Linked DNA regions of Kluyveromyces lactis. The main gene of each other region encodes a partner of the protein of the gene in region 3 in a complex. Links are inferred from orthologs where the notes say so. Each region holds a gene or a part of one and is shown on either strand. Other genes may lie near its edges.

Region 1 (4,328 bases), on a different chromosome or scaffold from region 3:
ACGATGATGCCAATCCATTATCTTCGAAAAAGAACTGGGTTTGTTGTACCGGTAAGCTATAGATAGACAGTAGTTTCTGCTCGTCACGAACGACAACGTTATCTAGAATCACCAATTTGGGGAATATCCTTAACATTTCTGTACGATATAAACGATCCGATGTAATTGGATTATTCATCATCAGAAGCTCCCTCAACTCTTTGAATTTATTCTTCCAAACTTCAAGAGAATGGAATCGACTAATACTATTATTGGCGATGCATAGGTTTTTCAAATGAGGGAAAGTCTGTGCCAACGTGGTAACACCATTGACGTCTCTCAAATTATTATCAGATAGGTTGATCGATTCAACAACCATGCTAGGCTCCTTTGAAGCCACTTTCATCATAGCCGGGAACATCTTGGACTGCGTATTAACATTTTTCGGAGCCATACCGCGTTGCACCAACTCCGGATCATTGAACAAATTACCAAGATCCAACATCCTCGTTTGCACATTATATCTTCTCAAAAGCACATTACGAAGAACGGTTATCGTATCATTCGTATTAGGGTTTGTGTTCCCACCGGCTGCCTTGTGAATCTTCAATGAATTGCCTGCAAACCGGTACCCACTAAATTTCACCAATTGATCTGCCTCCTGCGGTGTCACATAACCAACTATAGTGTCCCCTTGAACCACAGAGTTTCTCACTGAGATCCTGGTCTTTCTCGAAATGAAATTCAACAAATCCTGTTGAGTAGCGTTAGTCCATCCACGAATGCTAACGCTGACTAAGTTATCCAATTGGTTTTGCTGTGCCAAAGCACCAATCTGATTCACGTTACCAAAACCACTAACTTGCATCACTCTAGTAACGCTATATCACAAGACTTTTCTCAACCAAATCGGTTAACCCGGTGAGCCTCATCTTTCAATCTCTATTCCCATCTCAATTACCAATGAGACTAGCACATTTTTTGATTATTTCTAGGTTTTTAGCATTTTTTTTTTTAATTTTATTCTTCAGTTTAGTAGAAAGAGATGATCGACCAAATCGAAACAGAAAATTCAAGGTCATGTGATATATTACGAGCACGTGACGTATAAATATCTTTTTTTTTTTTGGTCTTTCTCTTCTATTTGTTCTTCTAAGCTCTGCCGTATTGAATACGTATAGTGTTTCAAACAGAAGGAAAAAAACCCAAAGGTTTTTGGAAAATACAGACTGGCATATTAAAATCGAAATAAGTTAACTGTTAACTACTTTTCTAGATCAGAGGAATAATTGTTTGCAGTTTGAAGGCTTTTTTGTTTAATAGTACACTGTGGTTCACTTTTTTTGATTGCTGCCTGCTGTGTGTTTTATTGTAGCGGCTTAATTTATTGGCAGTCTTTTGGTTCTACAACAGACAAGCAGACGAACAGACAACGACGCCATGCCGCAGAATTATGATTACGATGAGGCAAGCACCACATGGCCATTTTTCGTACTCACGGTGTTATTTGTGGCTGTTACACCGGTAACATTGATTGAGCTGTATAGATTGATTGTTGGGGACTCCAGCGATAAGAGTTCTTCATCAGAATGGAGTCAATTGCACGAAAAATATACTTCAGAAGAAGTTCGGAAATATAGACTTGCTAATAAGAAGAAAAGGTCCAAGAAGGGAATTTACTTCATTACCGTTGGTTGGGTGCTCATTTCGATGTTGATTTATCATATTCGTTCCAACGATGCTATCTATCAGATTGCAGCAGCGGCTTTTGATCCATATGAGTTACTTGGTGTGACGCTTTCGTCTACCGATAAAGAGATCAAGTCTGCATACAGGAAATTATCTGTCAAATTCCATCCCGATAAGCTTTCCAAGGACCTAAATGAGATTGAAAGAACGGCTATGGAGGAACAGTTCGTGATGATTAACAAGGCTTATAAGGCTTTAACTGATGAAATTACGAAGGAAAATTATAGAAAGTATGGTCATCCAGATGGTCCTCAATCTACTTCTCACGGTATCGCTTTGCCCAAGTTCTTGGTGGAAGGAGGTACTTCCCCATTTGTTGTTTTTGCATATTTCATTCTACTTGCGTTTGTGTTACCCATGGTAGTTTCTAAATGGTGGAGCACTTCGCAAGAGTACACAAAACACGGTATTCATTCTGAAACAGCATCTCACTTCGTTGACAAAATGTTCAACTTCAAACCATCTTATGTTGTTGTGCCAGACTTAATCATTAAATGGATCTCTGAAGCAAAAGAATTCCAATTGAAATTCCCAGAATTGTCTTCCGTGGACATCGCTAACATTATCCATTCCCATGTTAACCGTGAAAAGACTGAAAACGAATATGCAAGGAACTATGTGCTTACCAAATCATCGTTACTTTTCCATCAATTGATAGAAATCGCATCCACTTTTAGGAACACTGAAGTTGCATTGATGGCGTTAGACACGTATAAGACAGTGGTACAGGCAACTCCGTTATCGCCACACTCTCAAATCTTTCAATTACCAAACGTGGATAAAGAGCATTTCTTGGATTCAACTACAGATGATATTTGTGCCTTGGGTAAATTATTCACATACCCAGATGATAAGATAGGTAAGATGCTAGGAATAAAAGATGAAACAGCACTCAATGAAACTTTGAAAGTAGCGTCTCGTATTCCTAAGTTGAAGCTCGTCAAGGGCTCCTTCAAAGTTCGTGGATCTTCTCTAAATACCGCAGAACCAGGTTCTACTCCTCACATTCAAGTTAAAGTGTTGGTTCGTTCTCCAAGACACAAACTTTTCCCAAACTCATTGATCCCAGCTGAAAAAATAGCTGGCGATGATCCATTGTTATTGGAACAGGATCCCTTCGAAAAATTGTTGGAACAACCATTGTTGCCTGAAACTTTCGCACCTTTGCTTCCAACAAAGAGACGTACTTGCTGGTATGCGTTAGTGGTATCACAAAAGGATGGTAAAATAATTCAAACCCCAAGCTTGGCCCAAAGATTGTCCCTAGAAAATTTGGATGTCAATTTCGATAAAAGAGTTATTAAAGATTTAGACAAGGAATTTAACGCTGAAGACTGGACCATCGGCACTTTCTCAATTCCTTTCGCTCAGCCTGCTCCTAAAGAAGAAGGCACATATTTCTTCAGAGTCGTTATCAAGTCTCCAGATTACTTTGGTTCTGATTTAGACTTCACTGTTCCATTGACTGTGAAAAATACTCCAATTGAAACAGATCCTAAGAAGGAGATATTGGAAGAACTAGACTCTGACGATTCAGGAAATGAAGGCGAAGAAAATACTGGATATTCCTCCGAAGACTTTGATGAATCCGATGGTGATGATCTAGAAGAGGACTCTGATTTCACTGATATAGATACTGATACTGAAGATGAACATGAAGCAACTGAGGAAACCACTGAAAAATCCTCCAAGACAGATTAACTTTTTACTTACAGTTCCTAATAAATTATCTGAGCACGCATTAACCATCACTAAATTGACAGGGCTTTTCATATGTAGATATATATTCATACTGACTTCTTATATACAAATGCATCATTAGATCCAGTGGTATTCTTGTAATAGTTTTCCAAAATGTCACCATCCCTGGAAAAGCCATTCTTCTCATACCATTCTATTGCTGTTTCATTGTCGGTGGCAACATGCACGTATATATCGTGTTGAAAGCTTTCCTTACATTTATCTTCGATATACTTCAACATTAATGAACCAGCTGTCTTTCCACGGTAAGCTTCAAGTACGGCCAATACTTCGATGTACATACCTGCTGGTTTGACTCCGCCGGTCTTATTGGCTATTAATCTGGATTTTACAGCACCAATCGCAATTTCCCCGTAATATGCTAGCTGTGCATAGAATACTCCTTTCGCATTCTTGTCCACAACTTCCTCGAAGTATTCACCTGGATACTGAACCGGTAGCACAACATCAATGATCTTTCTGAATGTTCCTAAATTGTTAGCGTAAACGTTATCAATCGTAACCAATGCTCTACCCATCTTCTCAATTGTCTATATATGGATACCTTACCTGCTGATTCTCAACGTACAGAAAGTACTGGTTTCTAGCAGTAATTCTTGTCATTGTATCTCTCTTGAAGATATTATTTCTTCGGATTATAAGTTCTATGGAATTTTCAAATCAACTGTGTATCTCAGGATCGAAACAGCGAACAATGTTAAAATCGAGAGTGTAATACCAGATACCAGCCTTAGATACACTGTTAGAATTTCCTCTAAACTGCCAAAACAACGAAACCAATCTAACATCGATGCTCAAATGCATAAACTATCATAAACGGACATTCCATACCACTTATT
Region 2 (2,979 bases), on a different chromosome or scaffold from region 3:
ATACAGCTGAATCAGGGATTACAATAGTCTCAATGTCATGCTCACTTAGTTTTTTGGCGAATTCATGAGCCACTGTTGTATTGTTAGGAAATCCTTCAGTCACTAGAACAGTAAAATTTCTATTATTACGTTCTCTAGCCTTCAAAAGGAAACGAAGAACCGTCTTTGAATCTGGAGTAGGTGTAAGTAGGATTTCTCGATCATGAATCAATTCAATAGCTATTTGTTGAATACCTTCATCGATATTTTTTATTTCATCTATAAGATCACGAATTGATTGAACAATGGTCTGCCTTACGTCTAGTTTGTTATCCTGTATCTTTCTCGTCTTCGTATCAGTCATTGGCTTCTGTAATAGGTTAAACATTGAGGATATCATCGGCTCAGCACTACTCTGTTCCTCCTCTATTTCGTCTCTGATCATTGATAATACACGTCTAACAACATTACCACAAGAGTATTCATATGGCTGTGCTTTCTCCAAATTGTTTCCGAATTTTTTTATTTGTACTATCAGTTCATCAGTAGAGGTCCATCTAATAGCTGAAACATATCTCATCAAGATTTGTAATGTTTCCAACGACGCTTGATAGGATCCTATCACCTGTTTTCTTTTTAGTCTATCAATGAAAGAATCAATCACGACGTTGATATCAGACATCTTAATTTGATTAGTTTGATTTCTTACGGATGATCACAATAGTTGCCTAGCTTTTCTTTCTTATTGTTTCGAACAACTTTTGTTGATGTGATGAGTTTATGTTACATATTTCAAATTTTTTTTTTGTATTTTTATTATGGATATTACCGTACGAAGCATCGTGGAAATGTCAAGCATGAAGAATGAGGACGAACAGTATTCGGTTCAGAGGGCTCAATTAGATACCTATGTACTATATTTACAGATCACCCTCAATTTCGAGCATTTTCTTTTCACAGGCTTGGAAAAGTGCAAGTAAAGGTCCATTCTTTGGGTCTAATGAAAGACCTCTTTCACAGTAAGGTCTCGCCAATTCCACTAGATTTAGCTTAAGTAAACAATCCGTTAACCTTATAAACACTTCTGGCACCACCATACCACAGTTGAGAAGCATCTCAAGATCTTGCCATGCATCTAGATTACGCTGTGAAACCAATTCAAGATCTGTTCTGTTACGTAACATCATGTGTAGCTCTTGAAGTTGAAAAGAAAATGGTTCCCATGGTTTACGAGCCTTATTACGCATATCGACAGCAAGGTCGACTTTTCTGAGAGCATCTGGTATATTCTTGTTCTGTGCTTGTTGCATGCCGGATTGAAACATATTTTTGACCATGTTTGTTGTTTCATTGTTTGGCTGAGGCTGGAAATTTGGGTTTGTTTCCGGTACAAGTGCGGTCGTTAACTTGTTGATTTGATTCAAGTTTGTTAGCCTATCTGTGTTGGAATCATTGTCGATGCTTAGCTGCTTATTGTTACTATCGTACTGAATCATGGTTTTGTTTTTAGCAGTTATAGGAACTGGTGGTGTAGCTCCTGTACTCTGGCCCATATTGATTCTTGTTGAACATGTTAAGTCAAAACAGCTTTTGTATTTTCGAGATAAAGAAATATAGATACTGAGAATGGTGCTATGGATAAAAAATAAATGACCAGGGAAATAGTATCAGAAGCACCAAAATCACCAGTGATAGTATAATTTACTTGACAGCTTAGATTTGAAAATAGTAATACTGTAAACAGCAATTTTTTCCTTGCTTAGAACACCTGGCGTGCAATGGAGAGCCACTTTAAGGTTGATATTCAAACCATCTAAGGAGAAGAGAAATGATGATGTAATTAGAAAAAATATACATGTCATATATTTATATTATACCGAGGTTTTAAGATGATTACAAATCAGCATCATCTTCATCAGGCAATGGCAAAGCAGTGGCTTGTTCCATTTCTTGTTGGTATTGTTGCATCAATTGCTCATCGACTTGGACTTCTGGTGGAGCCAAAGCTGGAGAGGCAACAAAGTCCAATTGTGGGTTACCGGCCAACTTTCTGGCTAACCACAAGAATGGCTTTTCGAAGTTATAGTTGGACTTGGCAGAGATATCGTAGTATTGTAGGTTCTTCTTTCTGTGGAAGGTAATGGTCTTGGCCTTAACTTTTCTTTCCTTGACATCGACCTTGTTACCACACAAAACGATTGGAATGTTTTCACAAACACGAACCAAATCTCTGTGCCAGTTTGGAACGTTCTTGTAGGTGATTCTGGAAGTCACATCAAACATAATGATACCACATTGAGCATTGATATAATAACCATCTCTTAGACCACCGAATTTTTCTTGACCTGCGGTATCCCAGACATCGAATTTGATTTCACCAAAGTTGGTGTAAAAAGCCAAAGGATGCACTTCAACACCGATGGTAGCAATGTACTTCTTCTCGAATTCACCAGTCAAATGTCTCTTGACGAAAGTTGTCTTACCGGTACCACCATCACCGACTAGAACTAGCTTGAAAGTAGGAACTTCAGCAGACATTTTTATTTTATAACTGTATCAGGGTATGTGTGTGCAGTGACTACAGTAAAGTTGCAACAACGGAGTATAATAAATAGCAGTATCTATTCGAAAGTGTCTCAAATCGTAAGCGCAAGAGATGATGATACATAACTAAACTGAATCAAGTATTCAATTTCATTGTTTTAATTTTTTTTTTTTTTCGATTTCTTGCATTTTCCATCAATTTACTAAAAGAGAAATATAAGAAACAGAAAGTGAAGAATCAGTCAGCATAGAATACTTCTGTTGCAACTGGCCTCCCTATAACCAGTACTTGAGAAACACATGGTGATAGCACTTCATATCGAATCGGTTTGATTACGTATCCAATGTATTATTTTACTGTTGTCTGCTCTTCTGCAGGGTCACAATCCTATTTAGGGTAGAAAAGAAATAGGGTAATATCAGGGTAACTGAGATTTGATATCTTCCCAGTCACGT
Region 3 (2,979 bases):
AAGCCGAACGTGAGAGAAAAGAACGTGAAGCAGCGTTGAAACTTCAACATGCCCTTTTGGCAGAGGAACAAAAGACAAAGTTCAATGTTTCCTCCGTAGCGAGCTGGGCAAATCCAGTTGGAACGAAAGCTCCTGCTAAAGCCCCTGTTAAAACTACTTCACGATCCACTCCAGAACCATCCGCGGATAGTATCAAATATATCGAAGAGCAACGTAGAATCTTGGAAGAAATACAAAACTCTCAAAACAAGTCATCTGCGTCACCTAGCTCCGATTCTTGGTCTACAATTGCTAAAAAGAAGACAAGTTTGGACTCTCCAAGACCAGCCCCTCAGATTAACAACTCATTTTTGAACCCTGGCAACACCAAGAAGAAAATTTTGCACGGCTCTTCAATTTCCATCCCAACTCTGAAAAAGGGTGTTACCTCTTCTCCAATCAATTATTCAGGTAATCAATCCACTTCTGCAAGGAGGCAATTTTTGAGCTGGTGTAGATCTCAAATGAAACTAGCACCTGGTGTTAAAGTGGATTCTGTTTTAGAGATGTTACTCTCTTTACCACCAAGCATGGATTCCAAGGAAATCATCTCTGATACTATCTACGCTAACAGTTCAGTGATGGAAGGTCGTTCCTTTGCATCAGAATTTATTAAAAGACGTATTGAATGCGAGAAATCATTGAATGATCCTTTAACATGGTCAGAAGCTCTTGCTCTTCCACAGGGAAGCGCTGATGATTGGGAATTCCAAGTTGTGAGTAAGAAAAAAGGTAAAAGGAACTAGTCTCTAAAACGTATGGGGTCAGTAGCATCTAGCATTATATTGTTTTTTGTATAGTGTACATAATCTCTAGCAAATACCCAGAGAGAAAACTCAACTGTATCTACGTGGTATCATTACTGAATTAGTTTACCGTTGTCATCCAACTTCAATTGGTATAGTTTTTGGAAAATGTTCTTTCTATCTAAAATGGAATCGTAACGTCTTTGTAAAGCTTGGTTGAAACAGATTTCTCTACATAGATTCACAAATGCTTGGGGCCAATCTGGTTGTAATCTTTCTGCTTCTTCGATGCAACTTTTCAATTCAAGATCAACCAATTTCATTTCGTTTTGGTACCTTTGCCAATACTTATCATCAACGGACCCATTCTTATACAAGATCTCAATTTGAACGGCGACCTCTCTTAATTTAATGGTACGTCTTACAGCTTCTGCACCACGGTTCAACAGAGCAGCTTTAACCACCTTAGGGTGAAGTTGTTCTGTTTCAGCTAATTCTGCAATTGCAAAATATAAATCACGGGCTTCATGTTCATCAAAAATGCTTGGTAATTCAGCTAGTTTCTTGACTTGACTCCTCCTATACTTGGATGCAAAGATCATTAAAGATATTACCAAGATCGAAACATAAACTAACGGTGTGTAAACGCTGACCACCTTGATTTCAGGCTTCTCTTGCCCTTCGAAAAAAGTCTCGTTGAAATGCGTTCCGTTATCTGACATTTTTGTTCTTTTCTTCCAAAGACGATCCTGGAAGGTGTTTCAATTTAAACAACAATCAAATCGATATCTCAACAGGCCACAGTTGACAATTACCACTCAACTTACAACTTTCAGAAGATGGTATGTGTTTAGATATAGATGTTACACTTTTCGTTTTTTTCACTTTTTTCTTATTTTAATACGTATACTGAGTGATGTTGGAATCCTCATTTGACATTAAGCATTTGCAATTCCTAAATCTTTGCCACTATTAGATAAAGAAAGAGCATTGCGAGTTAGAAAGAGTACAAACCTCTACTTTATAGCGGAAAAAAAAGTGCATTATAGAACAAGCGACATTACCATGCTATTAAGATTGAGATCAAAACTTGGTATTCACCGTGTAAGTTGCGAAGGAAATGACAATTTTGGCAGTGTGATTGAAAAATGGGCAAACCAATTAAGACTTAATGTGGATCCTGACTCAGTTTCAGTAAGTACACAACCTGGCGTCTCCAAACTGATGACTGAGATAGCACACCAAGGTGTGGAATCACTTGGCTTGAGACATGGAGACATGGTGACAGTTGAATTCAAGGTTTTGGACACTGAAGAAAAGAATGTTTCGGAGAAGGAAATGACCAATATGACTGTCTCCGCAAGCACAACGAGTGTTCCCATCAGTAGTAGCCACAACAAGGGATCAATAAGAGGCAAAGTCAAGGAATCTGCTTTAGATATAGAACTTGAGGGTGAGACTGGATTGATACCTCGTTCAAGATCATCACTTTGTAGACATGGAGAAAAGGGAATGTGTGAGTATTGCTCGCCATTGCCGCCTTGGGACAAAGGCTATCAAGATGAACACAGCATCAAACACATATCGTTCCATGCGTATTTGAAACAGCTAGACGAGGTTACCAACAAAAAATCCTCCGGTTCATCATACATTCCGCCCCTAAGTGAACCTAACTATGAGATAAATTTGAATTGTGCGGGTGGTCATGAGCCGTGGCCCAAAGGTATCTGCTCCAAATGTCAACCCTCTGCTATTACACTCCAACAGCAATCCTTTAGAATGGTAGACCATGTTGAATTTCAGGAGAGTGAATTGATTAACCAATTCATCGACTCTTGGAGAACCACTGGTATGCAAAGATTTGGTTATTTATACGGTTATTATAAAAGATACGATAACGTTCCATTGGGAATAAAGGCAGTGGTCGAGGCCATATGGGAACCGCCGCAACATGATGAACAAGATGGTCTTACCATGGATATGGACCAAGTCGTTAAAGAGGTAGAGGACACGGATAAACTTGCGCGCGAAATGGGTTTGGAAAGGATAGGTATGATATTCACTGATTTGACGGATACTGGGCTGGGAGATGGATCTGTGTATTGTAAAAGACATAAAGATTCATTTTTCCTCTCGTCACTTGAAGTGATCATGGCTGCTAAGCATCAGTTAAGACACCCCAACGTCAGTAAAT

Evidence for each region. Proteins that work in one complex are often made in the same cells at the same time.
Region 1: the proteins of SEC66 (region 3) and SEC63 are in contact, whole or in part, in a cryo-EM structure (PDB 6N3Q), measured with the Saccharomyces cerevisiae proteins. The link is inferred for Kluyveromyces lactis from reciprocal best matches to the Saccharomyces cerevisiae genes SEC66 and SEC63. Residues at the interface, in NP_009730.3 of Saccharomyces cerevisiae: Asn69, Lys109, Leu113, Gln116, Ile117, Leu120, Asn123, Gly124, Ser125, Ile126, Gly127, Glu128, Asp129, Tyr130, Arg133, Arg178, Arg179, Ser182, Arg186, Val189, Glu193, Trp194; in NP_014897.1 of Saccharomyces cerevisiae: Gln247, Thr250, Lys251, Lys252, Asn256, Ala259, Ser260, Val263, Val267, Asn268, Tyr269, Lys270, Pro271, Ser272, Glu273, Ile274, Thr276, Ile339, Gly342, Phe343, Arg344, Leu365, Pro367, Thr528.
Region 2: the proteins of SEC66 (region 3) and SEC72 are in contact, whole or in part, in a cryo-EM structure (PDB 7KAO), measured with the Saccharomyces cerevisiae proteins. The link is inferred for Kluyveromyces lactis from reciprocal best matches to the Saccharomyces cerevisiae genes SEC66 and SEC72. Residues at the interface, in NP_009730.3 of Saccharomyces cerevisiae: Ala71, Leu74, Gln77, Ile78, Met81, Ile87, His88, Lys90, Val91, Lys93, Ala94, Ala95, Leu97, Asn98, Trp159, Leu162, Met165, Val166, Glu169, Ile170, Phe172, Asn173, Gln174, Leu176, Ser177, Arg178, Arg179, Tyr180, Gln181, Ile183; in NP_013395.1 of Saccharomyces cerevisiae: Thr3, Leu4, Tyr6, Lys11, Ile13, Asn27, Ile28, Gln30, Ile31, Leu34, Thr35, Leu38, Ile39, Glu41, Pro44, Asn45, Phe46, Pro48, Ile85, Glu86, Gln89, Arg90, Ala93, Pro94, Trp95, Glu96, Phe98, Gln101, Leu102, Leu105.

The regions. Positions count from the first base shown.
Region 1 is NC_006039.1:847,222-851,549, forward strand, and holds SEC63 (protein-transporting protein SEC63), read left to right. Parts: upstream 1-1,419; coding exon 1,420-3,429; downstream 3,430-4,328. Other genes in the region: MEX67 (Mex67p), read right to left, coding at 1-847; peptide alpha-N-acetyltransferase subunit NAT5, read right to left, coding at 3,516-4,007; MRX4 (Mrx4p), read left to right, coding at 4,280-4,328. UniProt on the Saccharomyces cerevisiae protein: Acts as a component of the Sec62/63 complex which is involved in SRP-independent post-translational translocation across the endoplasmic reticulum (ER) and functions together with the Sec61 complex and KAR2 in a channel-forming translocon complex.
Region 2 is NC_006039.1:461,785-464,763, forward strand, and holds SEC72 (Sec63 complex subunit SEC72), read right to left. Parts: upstream 1,533-2,979; coding exon 900-1,532; downstream 1-899. Other genes in the region: KLLA0_C05082g (translation initiation factor eIF-2B subunit), read right to left, coding at 1-661; KLLA0_C05126g (Ran family GTP-binding nuclear protein), read right to left, coding at 1,873-2,517; KLLA0_C05148g (uncharacterized protein), read right to left, coding at 2,943-2,979. UniProt on the Saccharomyces cerevisiae protein: Acts as a non-essential component of the Sec62/63 complex which is involved in SRP-independent post-translational translocation across the endoplasmic reticulum (ER) and functions together with the Sec61 complex and KAR2 in a channel-forming translocon complex.
Region 3 is NC_006041.1:2,179,940-2,182,918, forward strand, and holds SEC66 (Sec63 complex subunit SEC66), read right to left. Parts: upstream 1,508-2,979; coding exon 899-1,507; downstream 1-898. Other genes in the region: SMY2 (Smy2p), read left to right, coding at 1-785; NPL4 (nuclear protein localization protein 4), read left to right, coding at 1,851-2,979. UniProt on the Saccharomyces cerevisiae protein: Acts as a component of the Sec62/63 complex which is involved in SRP-independent post-translational translocation across the endoplasmic reticulum (ER) and functions together with the Sec61 complex and KAR2 in a channel-forming translocon complex.